Linked DNA regions of Canis lupus familiaris. The protein of the gene in region 3 purifies or fractionates together with the protein of the main gene of each other region. This does not show direct contact. Links are inferred from orthologs where the notes say so. Each region holds a gene or a part of one and is shown on either strand. Other genes may lie near its edges.

Region 1 (3,515 bases), on a different chromosome or scaffold from region 3:
ATCCCTACAACAAGCTAACTCTTCTGAGATGTTTTTTTAACTAAGACTTTTAGTTTTATTATGTTTATTTTATTCCCTATCCCTCTCCACCCCCGCCAGTTTTGTTGATGTGATTCACAGACAGCAAGGTAGGAGTTGAAGGTGTACGACAGTACAACATAACCATCTGAGGTCTGTCTTTACTGCAGGACGATGACCACAGTAACAGTTAACATCCATCACCTCACAGAGTTACAAGTTTGTTTTTCCCCTTGTGACGAGAACATTTAAGATCTACTCCCCTAGCAATTGCATTTCTGGGTACATATCTGAAGAAGGGGAAACCACTATCTCAGAGAGATCACTGCATTCCTATCATTACCCACAACAGCCACAATACCGAAACACCCCCCAAGTGTCCACTTGGTAAAGAGAATGTTCTGAGTTTCATATTAAATTATCTGAAGTTGCACAAAGCTTCCTATTTGCCCATACTACCCCTTCCTGAGGCTTGTATTATTGAGCTGAATGCTAAAATGGCCACATGTCAGAATTGTTAGGGTCACAGACCAGCCCTTGGCAGAGATTTTCCTAATAAATTCAAGTATATTACAACATCCCAGAGTACTATAGTTGATAAAATGCCCCTATTCTGAAATAATGAGTTGGAAACAGAAAAACTAACCAGAATCAAAAAGTGAGGACATCCCAAAACATGTCAAAATTCAGTTCAAAAAATACCTTTATGGTGGGACTTCTATAGTTTCCTTATTAGCACAAAAATATAAAATCGACGTTGACCATTTAAGTTTTAATTAGGAACCCTTCGTCAGGCCCAGGGACAGAATATCTTACTTCATCTTGACGGGGAAGGAAGGGTCTTTAGTGACTTGCCCAAGCAGCTTACAGAGGTCTCACTAGTAAGGGAAGCAGTATTCCTAATCTTGTTTTGAATTTCAAATAGCATGATTATTTTGTTTGATACCTGACCTAAGTATAGGCAGAAAGGAGTATTTTTCACATTTTTGTTCCCTCAAAATAGTCTGTCTATAGAATCAAAGAAACAATAACCCATAGCCTATATGTGTTATGGGACCTCACTAACTGAACACCACAGGCAGCTCCGGCCGATTTCAGAAAGCTCTTCCTTACTTGGGGCCAAGCTGACCGACAGGGCCCTCGCAGGTGGCCATGCAGGTGGCCCTGCGTAGCAGCCCTAGGTCACCCGTGTCATCTGTGCACTTCTGTGCTTAAGTTACCTTGTGGGCGCCGATAATATCAGGGAAGCAGCCAAGGAAGCCTTTATATTCATGATTACATTCCATGAGGAAATGAAGATCTTTCTTTGGCTAAAACAAGACACAGGGTGGTTATTCCTGGCAGAGAAATCCAGACCATCAAGGCCAAGAAAACAGTTGCCCAGAGGACTTGCATGAGCCAAGCCCCTGGGGTACTAGTTACCATACCAAGGGCTATGCAATCAGCCTAGTTTTCCTGCAAGAAAACAGGCCCCAAGACTACTACATTCTCAATTGTAGATTGGAGAGAAAATCATAAAACATCAGATCGTTTTTAGGCTGGCTGATAAAAATTAGTTATTTTGAGGCGGCTTCAAATATAATACTATTAGGGGGGAAAACTGGTTAATATTACTCATACACAAGCAAAGAAGATGTAGTAACTTAATGTTTAAATTTTGGCAGAGAATGTAAATTATTACTAAAGATCTGGTAACTATCTTAAGTGGCAACTTAAAATATTTCAATTTTTCTGAATTATAATTTTAATAGCTATGTTATGCATTTCTACAACCTAATCTTTTTCTTTTCTTTTCTTTTTTTTCAACCTAATCTTTTTCTATAAGGAGCAGTAGTCAATGACTAACACGAAGGGGTGTGCAACGGGTGTATGTGCACAAATACGTATTTCAAGAAGTTGTCTGAAAAACTTTTAATTTAGGGATTTGAGACACAAATGTCAACACAGATGTCTATTCCCCTTAAGGGAATTTGTTATTGGTTATCTGTCAAAAGAACTGGAATCAGGACTACTGAAGGCCTCAGTAAAAGCCATGTGACTCTATCAAAGACCTTCTCCCTGCCAAATCCCCCACTGGTGCCTTCTCCTTTGTGGCTGCTGAATGCTGAGAACCTTACAGAGTAGGCTCTACTACCACCGTTTACCAGGTGGGTAAAGCAGCCTCAGACAAGCTAAGAGTCTAAATGGTGATATGAACGGTGTTCCTGATAGAACATTCCAACTCCTGATGGCTGAGGATGGATCCAGCCATTGACACTGGAAGATACTCATTTAGATTTCTCGATGATAAATGTATCCATCACTTTAGCTTAACCAAAGAAACACTATTACCATATACAATTAACAAAAGATACAGAGGAACATAAGAGGAGAGTTGTTGGCAAAGTTTGTTTTAAAATAGGTTGAAAGAACATGTGGATTGGACAGCAGCTGCTGTGCCCTGGAGCTACATGGGTCTCTGTGGATACCTGCTCTGCCACAAGACCAGCAATTTCTTCGTAAGTCTTTCCTGCTTCGGTGATGGCAGCGTTGAGATCCGTTTCGCCTGGAAATCATTACAGCTACATCAGTGGTCATATGTACTTTCCCTTCGCGTACTTTACTTAAAAATCTTATTATAGAAAACACTATACTTTTCAAAACTAGAGGATAGGGTAACAAGTTCCCATCTACCCATCCCCTGGCTTCCCAGTGAACAACTCATGGCCAGTCTTTCTGCAGCACCCATACTGTCCGCCCCTAAAGTCCCCCTTTCACTGGCCATGTAACAATGCACCCATAAATTTGACCTCAAAGATAAGCACACTTTAAGTTCTTTTTTGTTTTGATTTAAGATTTCACCTTTTTGAGAGAGAGAGCGCGTGAGAGGGAACGAGCATGAGCAGGGAGTGGGCAGAGAAGCAGATTCCCTGTTGAGCAGGGACTCTGGGGTCATGACCTGAACTGAATGAAGGCAGTTGCTTAACTGACTGAGCCACCCAGCTGCCCCAAGATAAGCATTCTTTAAAAAGCAAGGACAATATCAACACAACACTGGAGACAAGGTAACTGCTCCTGATAATCCAGTAAGTGGACAGCTCCCTGGAGTCTGGAATCAAGCTCGCTGCTTTCAGGACTCAGAGAAAGTCCACATCATAGAGAGCTGAAGTGTTTCTTTAGTCTTTAGGTTCTTTCTCCTCCCTTTTTTCTTGCCAATTTCTTTTCGGGGGTATTGAAGAAACTAGGTGCCTTGGTACCCACAGTCTGGGTTTTGCTGTGTCTGTGGTGATAATGCAGTCCTCTGTTTCCTGTACTATCTAAATCTCTCATTTTAGGAAAGGTTTGCAAAGTGTTGCTATTCTACTTCTATCACTCCTTCTTGATCTGAAGCATTTCTATTTTTTTAAAAAAGATTTTATCTATCTATCTATCTATCTATCTATCTATCTATTTATTTATTTATTTATTTATTTGACAGAGAATGAGCACAGCAGAGGTAATAACAGAGGGAGCGGGAG
Region 2 (3,967 bases), on a different chromosome or scaffold from region 3:
AAATTTCTCAATAGCTCGGGGCATCGTAGTTCCTGAGGCTTTGCCTTCCCCCAAAATCAGCGAATCAAAGAAGGTCTCAGGGTGCCAAGGGGTAATGGTTGGACCAAACCAAGCAGATTCATCTATTCCTTCCTTTTAACTAGTGTTCTTCAGTACCAGATCCCATTCTTGCTCAGGAGGAACTCTAAGTTTGGTGGAGGAGAGGTTCACGATTTTGATTTGATATCTGTAGAATGGCGTTATGGTTGCCCCCAAAAGGCATTGTACATTGGAAAGTGGTTAAAAGACAAAATGTAGGTTAAATCCCTGCTCTGTTATCCTGAGAGCTGTGTGACCTTGGGCAAGTCACGCAACCTCTCTGGACCACAGGTTTAAGGTCTGCCTAAATAGGCTTAGATTGAAATTACTGTTTCCTCGGTTCTGAGAACGGAGGTTTCAACATCTTGGCCCCAGACAAGAGAGGGGGAAGGGGACGGGAAGACTTCCTGGAAGAAGATTTAAGGAGTCGGGGGTGGAAGAGAGGAGGGAGAAAGTGGAAACAGGCAGACGCTTGCGCAGTAAACATCTCACATTTTCTTGCCCCTCCCAACCACTTCTCTGCAGCGGGGAATTGCAGGCGACGCTCCACCTATCCAGGGCAAGACGAGTGACAACCCCGTCCCCCTTCCTTCTCTACCTATGATCGCCTTTCTCCCGCCCCCACAACCGCCCAATCGGGGGCGGGAACTGAGGAGGTCTGGCGAATCCGCGACGCCTGCGTGGGCGATCTGCCCGCTCATTGGTCTAGATAAATGCAAGTCCCGCCTCCCAAGCCCCCGCCCCCGCCTTCCTTCTTGTCAATCCCTCCCTTCGCCGGATCCAATCAGCAAGGGACCCGGCCTCACGGAGGGGGCGGTCCCACCACACGTAACCGAACTCCGCCCGTCTCTCGGGCAACGCCCCTTTCCCCCGCCCCCCGCGAACGGAAATAGCGGGCCACTGGGCCAATCGCAGCAGCGTGCCTTTGTCCAGCGACCAATGAGAGAGAGGGCGGGGGGCGGTTGCGTCCGATTCTGAGCGGCAGTAACTCGAGCCAATGGGAGGTTGATAGCTCAGGACGGCGAACGGGAGGGGAGGGGCCGGGGGCGGAGCCGCGGCCTGCCGCCCGCCCGCCCGCCCGCCAGCCCGCCCTCCCCCCTGGCCGGCTCTGCTTCTCGGCGCTGCTTGGGGTCCTTTGCTCCCGGTCCCCGCCTGCCAGCCCCCGCTGCGCTGTGCCCTGCCCGGCCAGGCCTGGAGCCGACACCACCGCCATCATGCCGGCCGTCTCCAAGGGCGATGGGATGCGGGGGCTCGCGGTGTTCATCTCCGACATCCGGAACTGTGAGAGCGCGGCCGGGGGACACTGGAGGGCGGGGGAGCATGGAATTGAGGGGCTCGGGGATTACTGAGGGGCCCGGGGCATTGAAAGCCATCGCGGGCGAAGGGGGGGAGGATAGAGAGGCCCCGGGGGGAACTTTAGGGTGGGAGCAATGGAAGGACTTAGGGTGTCATAGAGTGCCTCTTGAGGTGACGACACGGAGTGGCTAGAGGCGTCCGGGAGGGTGTTAAAGGAAAGGTCCCGGGGCTGGGGACATAAGGGTGTCCCCTGGGAATGCTAGAGAGGCTGGAGGAACCTATCAATGGTGGGGAGAGAGAAATCCTTGATGTCGGTAGAAAGGGAAGGAGGTGCATGGGTGGGGGGTACCCTGTGGAGCGATAGAGTGGGAGAGGGCCCGAGGAGACCGGGAGGACGTAAAACACAGGAAGCATCATGGGGTCTGGCTTTGAGGGCCTAGCTGGGGGGTGTCATAGAAGGGAAGGGGCTAGGTAGGTCACGGAGGCTCCTGGGTGGTGCACAGAGCGAATCTGAGAGTAATAGAAAGTCCCAGGGGGTTGAGGAAGAGAGATGGGAAGGTGGGACTATATAGCAGGACCTTGAAGAGGGAGAGAGGGACTCCAGGATGGAGGGCAATGGAGAGGGGGGCTGAAGGGTCGCTACAGGGAAAGGAGGGGTTGAGGAATATGGAGGAGAGTTGCTGGGGGTGGAGGGTCTTGGGAGAACCCGAGACAGGAAGCTAGGGGCCTGGAACAAAGAAGAAGAGGTTACAAAGTGGGGGCTTGAGGAATGTGCCAGAATGGGGAGAGCCCAGAGCTCAAAAGAAGGGCCCAGGGAGCCTTAGGATTTTGTTGGGAAGAGATCTGGAAAGCTGGGGGTTGGGGGAAGCCTGATCCCAGAGGGAGGTCAGAGGTCAGGGAGCAGGCCAGTCCTGAATCTGGAGCCCTCTCTCATCTGACCACATCAATATGGGGACAGTGAGCAGCAGCAGCAAGAATTGTCGTGACGATGAGAGGCCTGGTGCCAAGTCAGCTTCCCAACTCCTGGGAGTGGGTGTTGGTGTTTGGAGCTGCCAAGAGCTTTGGAGGCTATATCCGCAGGGGCTCTAGGGTCAGCCGGACCTGAGCTTGAGTTTGAGTGCTGTCACTCCCTAGCCATGTGACCTTGAATGGGGGATTTCGCCTTTCTATTTCCTCATCTGTCAGGAGGGACTGCTGATTGCACCTTCCTGATGAGGTTGTTGTGATAAATGCATGTGAGTGAGGCCTTCTGCACATTCCAAACACTGGACAGTCTTGGCTATTGTTTTTGTCATTTGGTGGATCTGACAAGTGGCCTCTGTTAGATGCCTGGAGATTATTTTGGAATTTGGTAGATATGAAAGGACTTAGTACATAGTAGGTGCTCAGCGAAAGAGGGCTGGAAGGTGTTGGGAGTCAGGTGAAGGAGAGATGTTGTGGTTACTATGGTAAGAGGTGAGTGAGAAGGGGCTGCGGGTTAGGTGGGGGGCCATCTATCAGGAGTAGGTGTGCATTGCCCCAGATGCCTACCAGCAATGTGAAGTGATGTGACTCTTGGCGAGTCATTTAACTTCTCTGAGTCCCAGTTTTTTCTTTTTTTTTTTTTCTTTCTTTCTTTCTTTCTTTCTTTTCTTTTTTTTAGACTTATTTATTTTAGAGAGAGACAGAAAGAGAGCACAAGGAGGAGGGGCAGAGAGAGAGGGAAAGAGAGAGACTCTCAAGCAGACACTGCATTGAGCACAGAGCCCAACTCAGGGCTTCATTTCACGACCCTGAGATCACCACCTGAGCCAAAATCAAGAGTCAGCTGCTCAGGCACCTCGAGGCTCCTATTTTCTTATCTGTAAACTTCCTTGATAATATCATCTTGTCTCTGAAGGTTCATTCATTCATTTATTCAACAAATGCTTTTTGATCACTACTTTTTTTTTTTAGATTGTATTTATTTATTCATGAGAGACACAGAGAAAGAGGCAAGGACACAGGCTGAGGGAGAAGCAGGCTCTCTGCTGGGAGTCTGATGCGGGATCACGACTTGAGCCGAAGGCAGATACCCAACCACTGAACCACCCAGGTGCCCCTGATCACTACTTTTTGACACTACACCTGGGACTAGGCTATAACAGCCAACAAGAATCTCTGGCTTGGGAGCACCCAGGCCATGAGGGACATAGAAAATAAACACTGAACTACAATAAATGACACTATGTCAGAAGGTAATGTGAAGGAAAGTCAGGAAGGAAAGATAAGGAAGGACCAGGATTGAGATGGTGCCTGAGTAGGCCTCCCCAAGGGGGTGACATGTGAGTAGACTTTTGAGTGAAGTGAAGGAACAGACCCTGTAGATTTTGGAGGGCAGAGGGGTCCAGGTGGAGGGATGGTGCATTTAGAGGTCCTGGGGTGGCAGTATGCTTGACGTGTGTTCTGGTAAGAGGGAGGGGACTTGTGTGGTTGGAGCTGAGGGGGGAGAGGGCAGGAAATGAGGGCAGAGAGAGGGGACAGGGATTGTGGAGGGCTTTACAGGCCTTAGCACTCTGGCCTTTCTCTGGGTGAAACGAGAGAAGGGTTAGAGCACAGGAGGGGCTTGAGCTGA
Region 3 (3,515 bases):
ATAAGGTAATCATTGACTCTGCAGTTGTTTTTCAATTCCTTTTAGGAACTTTTGACTTCTCTCTGTATCAGACTCATACTGAAAGGAATCAAGGGGTAGGTAACAACGACTTTTAATAAACATGGAACATAGGACCCACAGCACTGGCACTGTTTTGCTTCAGGCCATTGATCACTCCTGCCACCACATGTGTTGTCACTAGGACACAGAAGAGGATGGGAAACATTGGTGACTAGTTTAAAGGACTGATCAAGTGTGAACATCATTCTATATGCCATATTCCCCTGATTCTCACACGTTGAGCCAAACCTCCCAAGAGGTTGATAAATTCTGTAACAGCTCAGCTGCATACCTGGACCACTAAAATATCAAACCCCAATTAGGATTAGTCTGCCCTGAATAATAGGAAGGAAACTGTCCCTGAGGGAGCTGGAGGAAGAAAGCAAATCGGGTCTCTGTGTGGTTTTTTTCCTGGAGCCACATTCCCTTGACTTAAGGTAACCCAGCTGGCAGTAATCACTCTGTGGCTGAAGCACTGCTCATTTTCCTGGAAGCCCTGCCAGAGCCTGTCATATGTTATGAGCTGTATCAGCGATGCCTTGACTCTGCTCAGGATCCCCAGAACTGCCGACAGGTGAGTTTTACTGTCCTGTGTGTCTGAGGCAAGTGCCCCCATAGAGAAATCAATTTAACAAGGCCAGGTGTATATCTAGCTGTGTGGTAGGGTGGATCTGAATCTGTTATTCATGACAGGACACCAGCATTGAGAGTTGGGACTTTTAAATTTTAGGTTGTGTTATTTCCTGTTATATTTGCCACACTTTTCTAGTTGGCCTATTGAATAGGGCAGATACCTCTGCTCTGGCATAGGATTGGTGAAGCTGATCATATATAGAATTCTGGCTGAATTACCAGAAAGGGTCAGTGATGCTTGTAAGCCTTTCTCCTTTTTGTCTTCTTGGTGTTTTTTGGTTTGGTTTGGCGGTTTTTTAGATTTTATTTATTTATTTGAGAGAGAGAGAGAGAGACCATGTGCACATGACTGATGGGGAAGGGCAGAAGGAGAGAGAGAGAGAAGCAGACCGCCTGCTGAGTGGGGAGCCTGCCACAGGGCTCTATCCCAGGACCCTGAGATCATGACCTGCGCCAAAGACAGATGCTTGCTTAACTGACTGAGCCACCCAGGCGCCCCCTTGGTGTTTTTTAAAGATTTTATTTCTACATAATCTACACCCAATGTGGGGCTCGAACCCACAACCCGGAGATCAGGAGTTGCACACTCCACTGACTGAGCCAACCAGGTGTCCCTTCTTGGTGTTTTTTTTTTTAAGATTTTAAAAATTTATTTATTCATGAGAGACACAGAGAGAGGCAGAGATATAGGTAGAGACTCGATCCCAGGACTAGACCTAACCCTAACTAGGACTAGATCTCAGGAATAGACCTGAGCCAAAAGCAGATGCTCAACAATTAAGCCACCCAGGCATCCTTGGTGTTTGTTTTTCTTTTATTTTTTTTAATTTTTAAAGATTTTTATTTATTCATGAGAGATACAGAGAAAGAGGGGCAGAGACAGGCTGAGGGAGAAGCAGGCTTCATGCAGAGAGCCCGATGTGGGACTCGATCCTGGGACCCCAGGATCACACCCTGAGCCGAAGGCAGACGCTCAACCGCTGAGCTACCCAGGTGTCCCGGTGTTTGTTTTTAATTCTGAAATAATTTTGATGCACAGTAGCTAAGAATACCTCTCAGTCAGACTAGTGAGTATTGGGAGGAGCTCCCATCTATGTTAAATGACATTGCAGAGAAAACCATTGAGCTTGGCAGATGCCATGGCTACCTGTCTGAGGAGACTGAAAAAGACCAGATTAATAGTAACCTGCTTGTAAGGTGGGATGTGTTTGTGTAAATGTGTGATGACCACATCACACATGTGAATATGGCCTGGTCTTTGAGTGGACAGGGGCCAAACAGTATGACCATTCTGACTTGGAAGTTATCATTTGGCATGTACTCTGTTAATCATGAGGAAATAAAAGAGAGTCGTGTCAGATAAATGGGGTCCTGTATGGGTTGAATTATAAAGTACTGTGGCAGCTATGAGCTCTTCTTACTCCCTTCTTTCACTTGTTCTCCTTACTGCCCACCCCCCTTTTCTTAAAAACAGGTGATTTCCCAGCTTCCAAGATGCCATAAAAATGTTTTCCATTACTTGATGGCATTCCTTCGAGAACTCTTAAAATTCTCTAAGTACAACAATGTCAGCGAAAACATGATCGGTAAGAGTACTTCATTAAAACGACAGCATGAGCAGGAGGGTGGGCTGGTTGGGACAGCCTTCCTGTCCAGGTGCATGGCCTACTGCCCTCATCCAGTGGTCCCCCAGTTCCCATTCCTGAAGTTTTGCATAGATTGTATCTGACAAAGGGTTTTCCCCTTTCCTTTTTCTCACCCTCTAGCTACTCTCTTCACTAGTCTTCTCCTAAGGCCTCCACCCAACCTTATGGCAAGACAGACTCCAAGTGACCGTCAGCGTGCTATCCAGTTTCTTCTGGGGTTTCTTGAGAGTGATGAAGACTAATAAGCCTTTTCCTCTTACTACTCTCCGAGATTCTAGAGGTGGAAAATCTTGGGCACTAAGTATTTCAGAATGAAATGAAAAGTCATGCCACGAGAAGGGTCAGTTGCAGAATTTTGAGGCTTTTGGCATGAAAAGGTTATTTCTAGTACAAGAGGAAGAGAGTTTCCTAATCCCTCCCTTACCATATCCTACACAGCAAAATACTTTTAGACTTATATTGCCAAGCCAAAGGTACCATATTTTGGTGGTTTTGTGTTCTCTCTTTATAAGGCAAAGAGATCTGTATTTACACTCCTTTATCTGGGGATGTGTTTGTTGCCCTCCTCCCCAGCTGTCATGATTGTCCTTAGCACCTAGGCCTAGATTCTGAGATGTTCCTATTCTAGGCCTACATGCACTACGTGCTGTAGCTCAGACTTGTCTGTAGTCCTTCGTCTAAAGCACTTTTGCCCGACCCCCTCCCATATCACCCCTTTGCACTCTACTCGACTAACTCTATTACATCGAAGGAAGTCTGAGTGAAGCTAGTAACTATTCAGATGTCCCCAACAGTGAGTTTACCATCTTCATGTGGTTGTGACATGGCATTTGTGCATTTCTACTACAGTGGCATTTGTATGTCTCTGTAACATTGGCCTTTTCATGGATCTGCACTGGGTGGAACCGTATTCTTTTGTCTCAGACCATGTTTACTAGCAGAACTTTAGAGATTACTAGAGATGACATCCCATTGATGTGAGAGAATCATGATCAGAGTGGAAGCACTTTGAGCATTTTAAAAGTGAGAATATTTATGTTTGACAGGTCTTGCTTTCTACCATCCCTTTCTGTTCTTATTCAAATTTCACGTGAGAACTAATACTAGTTGTCTGGAGGATCCATTCCCCACTTAGAAATCCACCTCCAGAGCAAAATCCACCTCCATCACAGTCAG
Region 4 (4,281 bases), on a different chromosome or scaffold from region 3:
ATCATCTTTGGGTTTAATCCTATCACCCTTCTGTTCTCTACATCCCTGCCTCCCTGCCTCTCCCTGGCCTGGTTCGAGGTCTCGCCCTCCACTGGGGCAGCCCAGCCCTTCCTCCTGGGCATGGAAACCTCCAACCTGGGGCAGGCTGCCGTCCCGCTGAGGCCTCACTGCCCTCGGGAGCCAGCTCCAACCACCCGGGTCCAGCAGCCCCTCCCTGCATTCACTGCAGCACCGTCCCATGTGAAAAAGAGGTACCTTTATTTGAACAGAACAAGCTCGCTGGCCTGAGAGCAAATGCTTCCAGGTCCGCCTAGAGGCGGCTGGCCAGGGGCTGCCCCATCAGCAGGAGGAGGATTCACAGTGGCTCCAAGAGGCGTGGCCCCCACGCCCTTCACAGCATCGTCTGGCCTTGTACATTCAGCCTGCACAGAGCAGGAGACCTGTGCCAGCCTCAGGTGCCGCCAGGCCCCAGATGGACGTGCCCAAGGGGCTGGGCGCAGCTTCTAGGAGTGGACACTTGTCCCCCGGTAGCAGCATGTGGCACCAACAGGTACCAGACCAGTCTAGGGGGGTCCCCGAGGCACGAGCATAGGGGGGCTTACTGGGTTGTCTGTCCAACCTGCCCCCGTCCCCCGCCACCATCGTGGGCTTTTGAAGTCTTTAAGCCAAGCACCTGCTGCAGCAAATCCAGGCCTGACCAGGACACCCAGGGCCTGGAGAAAACAGGGAGTGAGTGCTTGTTCCAGTCCCAGTAGAAAAGGTGGCGAGCCCCACCCAACTCAGGCCTTCAAGCCACCCAGCTGGAACCTGGCCTCCTCAGATATGCCGAACTGCTCCAGGGGGTCCTGTGTGGATGAACCAGCAGCATGAGCCGGGGCCCCAGAGGCCGCTGCCCGGCCCCCTGCCCCCTGCCCCCTGCGCACCTTGCCAGTCATCTTCTGGATCTCATTCCTGTAGAATATGAGGCTTCTCCGCATGAACTCGTAGCTGGGGGAGAAAGTGGAATGTGCTCACTCAGGCCCCCCCCTCCCCAGCCCCTGGGCAGGCCCACACCTCACCTGGCTCGACGCAGAGCCCCCATCCACTCCTGACACTGCTCCTCACTGCAGCACTCAAAGTGGTACTTCCTCTCTGGGTCCTCCATGAAGCCTGCGGAGGGAGCGGTCTGTCTGTCCCATCTCACTGCCCGCCGCCCCCTCCGAAGCCCCCCCACGGGCCTCCACCTTCCTCCAGGCCAAGACGACTCCCAGCGGCTGAGTGGACTGAATGGTGCCCCCCACACAGTAGTTCCAGTCCTAACCCTAGAGCCTGTGGCCCAGATACAGAACCCTTCAGAGTGCGGCTACTTAATAAGTCAGGGGAGAATAGGCGGCACAGGACGTCCCCGAGAACATGAAGGGGGGACACGAACACCCTAGGAGTCCTTCTGCAGAGGCAAGGGCGCTGCCAGCTGCCGGCCACCCCGGAAGCCAGGCTCGCCTGGGACAACCTCCCCGACAAGGATCCCCCGCAGGCCCAATGACGTCACTTCTCCAGCCCCAGGGCGCCCACAGCAGGGCCCGGCAGCCCAGTGCAGCACTGCCCAACAGGAGACAAGGTCCTAGAGGAGCTGCACCCCGGCAGCCCGAGGGAAGGGTGGACTTTGTCTCCGCGCAGACCCGCGGCCGGGCCGAAGGGGCAGGGCGGGCGCGGCACTCACAGATGGAGAAGCCGCTGGGCTCTTCCTGGGTGATTCTGCAGCGCTCCAGCAGCAGGGCTCCGACGGGCTGCGGGAGGGGGCGAGTGGGGACCGGCCTCGTGGGGACCCGGGCCCCCGCCCCCGCCGGACCCCAAAGCCCGCCCGGCGCGCCCCCCCCCACACCTGTCCGGGCCCCGCTCCCGGCCCCTCCCCCCGCCCCGACTCCTGTCCGGGCCCCGCCCCCGGCCCCTCCCTCCCCTCCCCCCCAGGCCCCCTCCCTTCCCGGCCCCGACACCTGTCCCGGCCCCTCCCCCGGCCCCGCCCTCCCCTCCCCCCCCCCAGGCCCCCCTCCCTCCCCGGCCCCGACACCTGTCCCGGCCCCGCCCCCCGGCCCCGCCCTCCCCTCCCCCCGCCAGGCCCCGCTCCCTTCCCGGCCCCGACACCTGTCCCGGCCCCGCCCCCGGCCCCTCCCCCGGCCCCGCCCTCCCCGCCCCCCGGGCCCCCGCTCTCTTCCCGGCCCCGACCCCCGCCCGTCGGCCTACCTCGGCCTCGTCCGTCCGGAAGTAGAAGAGGAAGTTGACCACCAGCTTCACCAGCCGCCGCTTCAGCACTGCGGGCACAGGGCGGGCTCACGCGGGCTCGGCCGCCACCCACCCCCGCCCGGCCAGCCCGCCCGCCCGCCCGCCCGGCGCTCCGGCCCGCTCACCACTGCCTTTCTTGGGGCCTCGCATGCCCAGCTCGGCCGCCAGTTCGGCCGGCTGCCGGGACAGCGCCTGCAGCTCCTTCTCGTTGTAGCGCATGGCGCTGCCAGGACCCAAAACGCGGAGCGCGGGCCGCGCCCTCCCGGCCGCCGTCCCCTCTCGCGCCAAAAAAGTCCTACAGTGCCGTCCCGGAAGCGCCGTCGCGGCCACTGCGCTTGCGCGGCCCCGAGACACGCATTGTGGTGTTGGCCGGCGCGCGGCGCTAAGCCAGGCCCGCGTGGGGGAGCACGCGATACCGGCCGACACGGACGGCCGTTATAAATAACCACGCAGTCAGCTGGATCCGAGGTGGGAACCCAGGAAGGCAGCCTCACGACCGTGGCGCCCTCTACCGACGAGCCCACGCCCGCCCTCCCGCGGAAACCGGCCCGGCGCCCGCTAGGCGTGGAGAGCCTGGTGCGCACGCGCACTCCCGAGTTCCGGCCCTTATTCCCAGCCCCGCCCCCTTTCCTCGCCCTCTCGAGCATCAGGTCCGCCTCGCCTGGCGAAGCACGCATGCGCACACGGGAAGCCCTCACCCCTCTCCCCAGACCCCACCGTTTGCCCCCGGAAGCGCTTCTGTAGCCCGCGACGCGCCTGCGCATAACGTCTTCGTGGCAGCGGCGGGCGCGGGGTGAGGAGTCGCGCGGGGTGAGGATCCGGGCTGGCCGAGCGCGGCGGTCCCGGGGCCCTGGCTTCCCCGGACGGGAGCGGCGGGGGGCGGGGGGCTCTCGGGTTCGCGGCGCCGCCGGGCCCCAGCTCCCTGGCCGCGCGCGGGGTCGGGCCCGACGAGTCCCGCCTCCTCGGAAGTGTGCGGGTCGGGTCGGGGCCCGGCGGCGCCGTGGGGTCCCTGGCGGCGGGTCGGGGGGGGGGGGGAGGCCGAGGGGGCGCCCGCGACGGGCCCGCGCCCTGGCGTCCCGGGGCTGACGTTGACTTCGGTTGTCCGCGAACGTGCGTGCTGAGAATTTAGGGTAACAAGCTCTAGACTGAGCATCCCTCTTGGGGCCCCCAGGCGGCCCAGGGCGTGACCCCGGGGTCCCGGGATCGAATCCCCCATCGGGCTCCGCGCAGGGGGCCTGCTGCTCCTCTGCCTGTGTCTGCCTCTCTCTGTGTGTCTCTCATGAATAAATACAATCTTTAAAAAAAAAAAAAAGATTTGTATTTGTTTATTAGAGAGGGGGAGGTAGAGTACAAGCAGGGGGAGGAGAGGGAGAAGCAGGCTGACTGCTGAGCGGGGAGCCCGGGACCCTGGGGTCACGACCTGAGCCACCCGCGCCTCCCGATGGTCTCTGTCCACGGGGGTCTCTGTCCTTTTTTCCGTCCGAACAATGAGATTCTCTCAAGCCCCGGGCCCGGGCTGTTTCCCTTTCTTTGGGAATGCTTTCAGATTTCTTTGAGGATGCCTTCCATGCTTCTTGCTGTTCTCGCTCTGAAATTTCATCTAAGTCCTGTTCTCTTACTTTCCCCCCTGTTTTGCGTTTCTTTGTAAAAGGTTGGTTTGACTTGTACCCGCAAGCTCTTAAGTTCAGCTGTTTCCAAAGGTCTTGGGTTTGGGTTTTAACTGCCCTTGCTAACCTTTGGTGCCGTGCTCTGCATTGGAGGTGTAGTAACTCTCACCCTGTTTTGTTTTGTTTTGTTTTAATTTTTATTTATTTATGATAGATATATATATAGAGAGAGAGGCAGAGACAAAGGCAGAGGAGAGGGAGAAGCAGGCTCCATGTGCCGGGAGCCCGACGTGAGACTCGATCCCGGGACTCCAGGATCACGCCCTGACCGCTGAGCCACCCAGGGATCCCCCCTCTCACCCTCTAATTAAGGAGGATGCTAACATTGCCTGGGGGGGTGGGGGGTGGCTAGCGG
Region 5 (2,863 bases), on a different chromosome or scaffold from region 3:
GGAATTTTTTGGATTTCTTGATTGTTTTTAACAGTGGGACACAGCAGGCCAAGAAAGATTTCGAACAATCACCTCCAGTTATTACAGAGGAGCCCATGGCATCATAGTTGTGTATGACGTGACAGATCAGGTAAGTTCCGGGGGTACGTTTTGTTAGTGACAAAGTAGGAAGTTTAAAGCAGGTACATTGATATTTTTCTCCCCTCCATTATTTGAATATCCAACCAAAATTTTACATTATTTTCCTTTAATAGAAAATTTAGTAATTGGCTTTACATTTGCTTTCAAGGGACTCTGCTTATATTTATTATCAACTAAATCTTTTGATCATTTCAGCAAGAGTTCATAGGGAACTGTGGATTGTTTAGTGTGTACTGTGTTCTTGGTGTTAAGTATTAGCAGGAATTTGCTAGACCTCTTAGAGTTGTCAAAAGTGAGATTAGAGGTCTCTGTGTGTGGAGGATATGGGTCCGAAATAGGATGAGCTGGAGGAAGATTTTTAAGAGGACAATGAGGGGGCACCTGGGTGGCTCAGTCTGTGGAGTGGCCAACTCTTGGTTTCAGCTCAGGCTCAAGTTGTGATCTCGGGGTCACAGCTCAAGCCCCAAATCAGGCTCCATGCTCAGCAGGGAGTCTGCTGCTTCTTTCTCTCTGCCCCATCCTCCCGTTTGAGCAGCTCTTTTGCTCTAAAAGAAATAATCTTGGGGCAGCCCCAGTGGCTCAGCGGTTTAGTGCCACCTTTGGCCCAGGGCCTGATCCTGGAGACCCAGGATCGAGTCCTGCATCGGGCTCCCTGCATGGGGCCTGCTTCTCCCTCTGCCTGTGTCTTTGTTTCTCTCATGAATAAATAAATAAAATCTTTAAAAAATAAAATAATCTTTAGATGCTCATTGTTCCCCTCCCTCCCCCTTTTAAAAAAAAAATTTTCCCCTCCCCCCTTTTAAAAGATAAGCTGTTGAAAGAACATAGGGGATATAGAGGTAGTGTGAAGATGGTGGTCTAGGGGCCATGAATGTTCTTTTGATAAGAAAACTTCAGGGTCCTTTTTTTCTTATCAAATAATGAAAGGTAAACTTTGACTATTTAAATACATTTTTCTTGGGGCAGATGTTAAATCTCACTGCTACTGTGAAATCATAGCTAATTAAGAGATAGCTAGAATCCTAGACTTTAGTGCCATTAGAAGTATTGGGTCACTGATGTCAATAGAAGAAATGATGCTAATTTTAAAAATCTCAAGTCATTACCATGATATTATGAAGTATGAAAATTTTCCTCCCCTCAATAGGTCTGTGAAAAAGAAAAACATCTTTCTTTACCTTGGACCCATTTATTTAATATCTTTTGATATCTCTAGTATTATCATGTAGGTAGGCACTCTAGTATATGAACCAGCGTTTTATCAAATTTCAAAAACCAGGTTTTTATAGGTGCATTTAAATTGCATATTCCAAAACAGCTAGATTTGACTGAGCTGTAGTTTAATGATGAACTGGTATGTTCTCTTTCTTAAGCATTCAAATTCTAATCTCTTTTTCATGCAGGTACGGTTAGTCATTTTAGTATGTCACTTCACTTTCTTCCCAGCACAGCTCAAATTGTCTCACTAGTCTCTTCTTAGGCCAGGAAAGACCTTTTACTTGCTTGTTTAGAGCTGTTGTGTCCAGAGCTATGATCATTCTTAAAAATGTCTGTTTTCTTAGGAGTCCTTCAATAATGTTAAACAGTGGCTGCAGGAAATAGACCGTTATGCCAGTGAAAACGTCAACAAGTTGTTGGTAGGGAACAAATGCGATCTGACCACAAAGAAAGTAGTAGACTACACAACAGCAAAGGTATGTTTCAAGTTTGATTTTCAGCCAGAATTTGAAGGTGTTCAGTTTGAATTGTGTGTGGGTGTGGAGTCACACGACAGCCATAGCCACCTACATATGTGCACTGGATCACGCAGATAGTGACAATCCATGCAGTATCTATGGATTCACTTAAACTTAGTCCTTCCTCACTCCCCATTTCAGATGATAGAAATGCACTAGGTGGGAAAAAATTGTCAGTGTTAATTAAGGCTTCCTATTCTCTTAGGAATTTGCAGATTCCCTTGGAATTCCATTTTTGGAAACCAGTGCTAAGAACGCAACGAATGTAGAACAGTCTTTCATGACGATGGCAGCTGAGATTAAAAAGCGAATGGGTCCTGGAGCAACAGCTGGTGGTGCAGAGAAGTCCAATGTGAAAATTCAGAGCACTCCGGTCAAGCAGTCAGGTGGAGGTTGCTGCTAAAATTTGCCTCCGTCTTTCTCTCACAGCAAAGAATTTGCAATCTGAACCCAAGTGAAAAAACAAAATTGCCTGAATTGTACTGTATGTAGCTGCACTACAACAGATTCTTACCGTCTCCACAAAGGTCAGAGATTGTAAATGGTCAATACTGACTTTTTTTTTATTCCCTTGACTCAAGACAGCTAACTTCATTTTCAGAACTGTTTTAAACCTTTGTGTGCTGGTTTATAAAATAATGTGTGTAATCCTTGTTGCTTTCCTGATACCAGACTGTTTCCCGTGGTTGGTTAGAATATATTTTGTTTTGATGTTTATATTGGCATGTTTAGATGTCAGGTTTAGTCTTCTGAAGATGAAGTTCAGCCATTTTGTATCAAACAGCACAACCAGTGTCTGTCACTTTCCATGCATAAAGTTTAGTGAGATGTTATATGTAAGATCTGATTTGCTAGTTCTTCCTTGTAGAGTTATAAACGGAAAGATTACACTATCTGATTAATAGTTTCTTCATACTCTGCATATAATTTGTGGCTGCAGAATATTGTAATTTGTTGCACACTATGTAACAAAACAACTGAAGATA

What was found.
Region 1: the proteins of OCRL (region 3) and SNX9 purify together in Homo sapiens (co-immunoprecipitation; 3 studies listed by BioGRID and IntAct, with this or other methods). This does not show direct contact. The link is inferred for Canis lupus familiaris from reciprocal best matches to the Homo sapiens genes OCRL and SNX9.
Region 2: the proteins of OCRL (region 3) and AP2A1 purify together in Homo sapiens (affinity purification with mass spectrometry; 3 studies listed by BioGRID and IntAct, counting the BioPlex papers as one, with this or other methods). This does not show direct contact. The link is inferred for Canis lupus familiaris from reciprocal best matches to the Homo sapiens genes OCRL and AP2A1.
Region 4: the proteins of OCRL (region 3) and PLEKHJ1 purify together in Homo sapiens (co-immunoprecipitation; 3 studies listed by BioGRID and IntAct, counting the BioPlex papers as one, with this or other methods). This does not show direct contact. The link is inferred for Canis lupus familiaris from reciprocal best matches to the Homo sapiens genes OCRL and PLEKHJ1.
Region 5: the proteins of OCRL (region 3) and RAB1A purify together in Homo sapiens (co-immunoprecipitation; 3 studies listed by BioGRID and IntAct, with this or other methods). This does not show direct contact. The link is inferred for Canis lupus familiaris from reciprocal best matches to the Homo sapiens genes OCRL and RAB1A.

Annotation. Positions count from the first base shown.
Region 1 is NC_049222.1:47,942,324-47,945,838, reverse strand, and holds part of SNX9 (sorting nexin-9), read right to left. Parts: intron 3,063-3,515; exon of another isoform or gene 2,956-3,062; intron 2,564-2,955; coding exon 2,487-2,563; intron 1,329-2,486; coding exon 1,239-1,328; intron 1-1,238. UniProt on the Homo sapiens protein: Involved in endocytosis and intracellular vesicle trafficking, both during interphase and at the end of mitosis. Required for efficient progress through mitosis and cytokinesis. Required for normal formation of the cleavage furrow at the end of mitosis.
Region 2 is NC_049222.1:107,457,502-107,461,468, reverse strand, and holds the start of AP2A1 (AP-2 complex subunit alpha-1), read left to right. Parts: upstream 1-1,155; 5' UTR 1,156-1,292; coding exon 1,293-1,359; intron 1,360-3,967.
Region 3 is NC_049260.1:101,704,036-101,707,550, forward strand, and holds part of OCRL (inositol polyphosphate 5-phosphatase OCRL), read left to right. Parts: intron 1-506; coding exon 507-634; intron 635-2,167; coding exon 2,168-2,279; intron 2,280-2,459; coding exon 2,460-2,581; 3' UTR 2,582-3,515. UniProt on the Homo sapiens protein: Catalyzes the hydrolysis of the 5-position phosphate of phosphatidylinositol 4,5-bisphosphate (PtdIns(4,5)P2) and phosphatidylinositol-3,4,5-bisphosphate (PtdIns(3,4,5)P3), with the greatest catalytic activity towards PtdIns(4,5)P2.
Region 4 is NC_049241.1:57,268,958-57,273,238, reverse strand, and holds PLEKHJ1 (pleckstrin homology domain-containing family J member 1), read right to left. Parts: upstream 2,809-4,281; 5' UTR 2,479-2,808; coding exon 2,385-2,478; exon of another isoform or gene 2,289-2,384; coding exon 2,221-2,288; intron 1,767-2,220; coding exon 1,700-1,766; intron 1,150-1,699; coding exon 1,059-1,149; intron 988-1,058; coding exon 924-987; intron 846-923; coding exon 780-845; 3' UTR 237-779; downstream 1-236.
Region 5 is NC_049231.1:65,854,000-65,856,862, reverse strand, and holds the end of RAB1A (ras-related protein Rab-1A), read left to right. Parts: intron 1-34; coding exon 35-130; intron 131-1,703; coding exon 1,704-1,835; intron 1,836-2,082; coding exon 2,083-2,280; 3' UTR 2,281-2,354; downstream 2,355-2,863. UniProt on the Homo sapiens protein: The small GTPases Rab are key regulators of intracellular membrane trafficking, from the formation of transport vesicles to their fusion with membranes.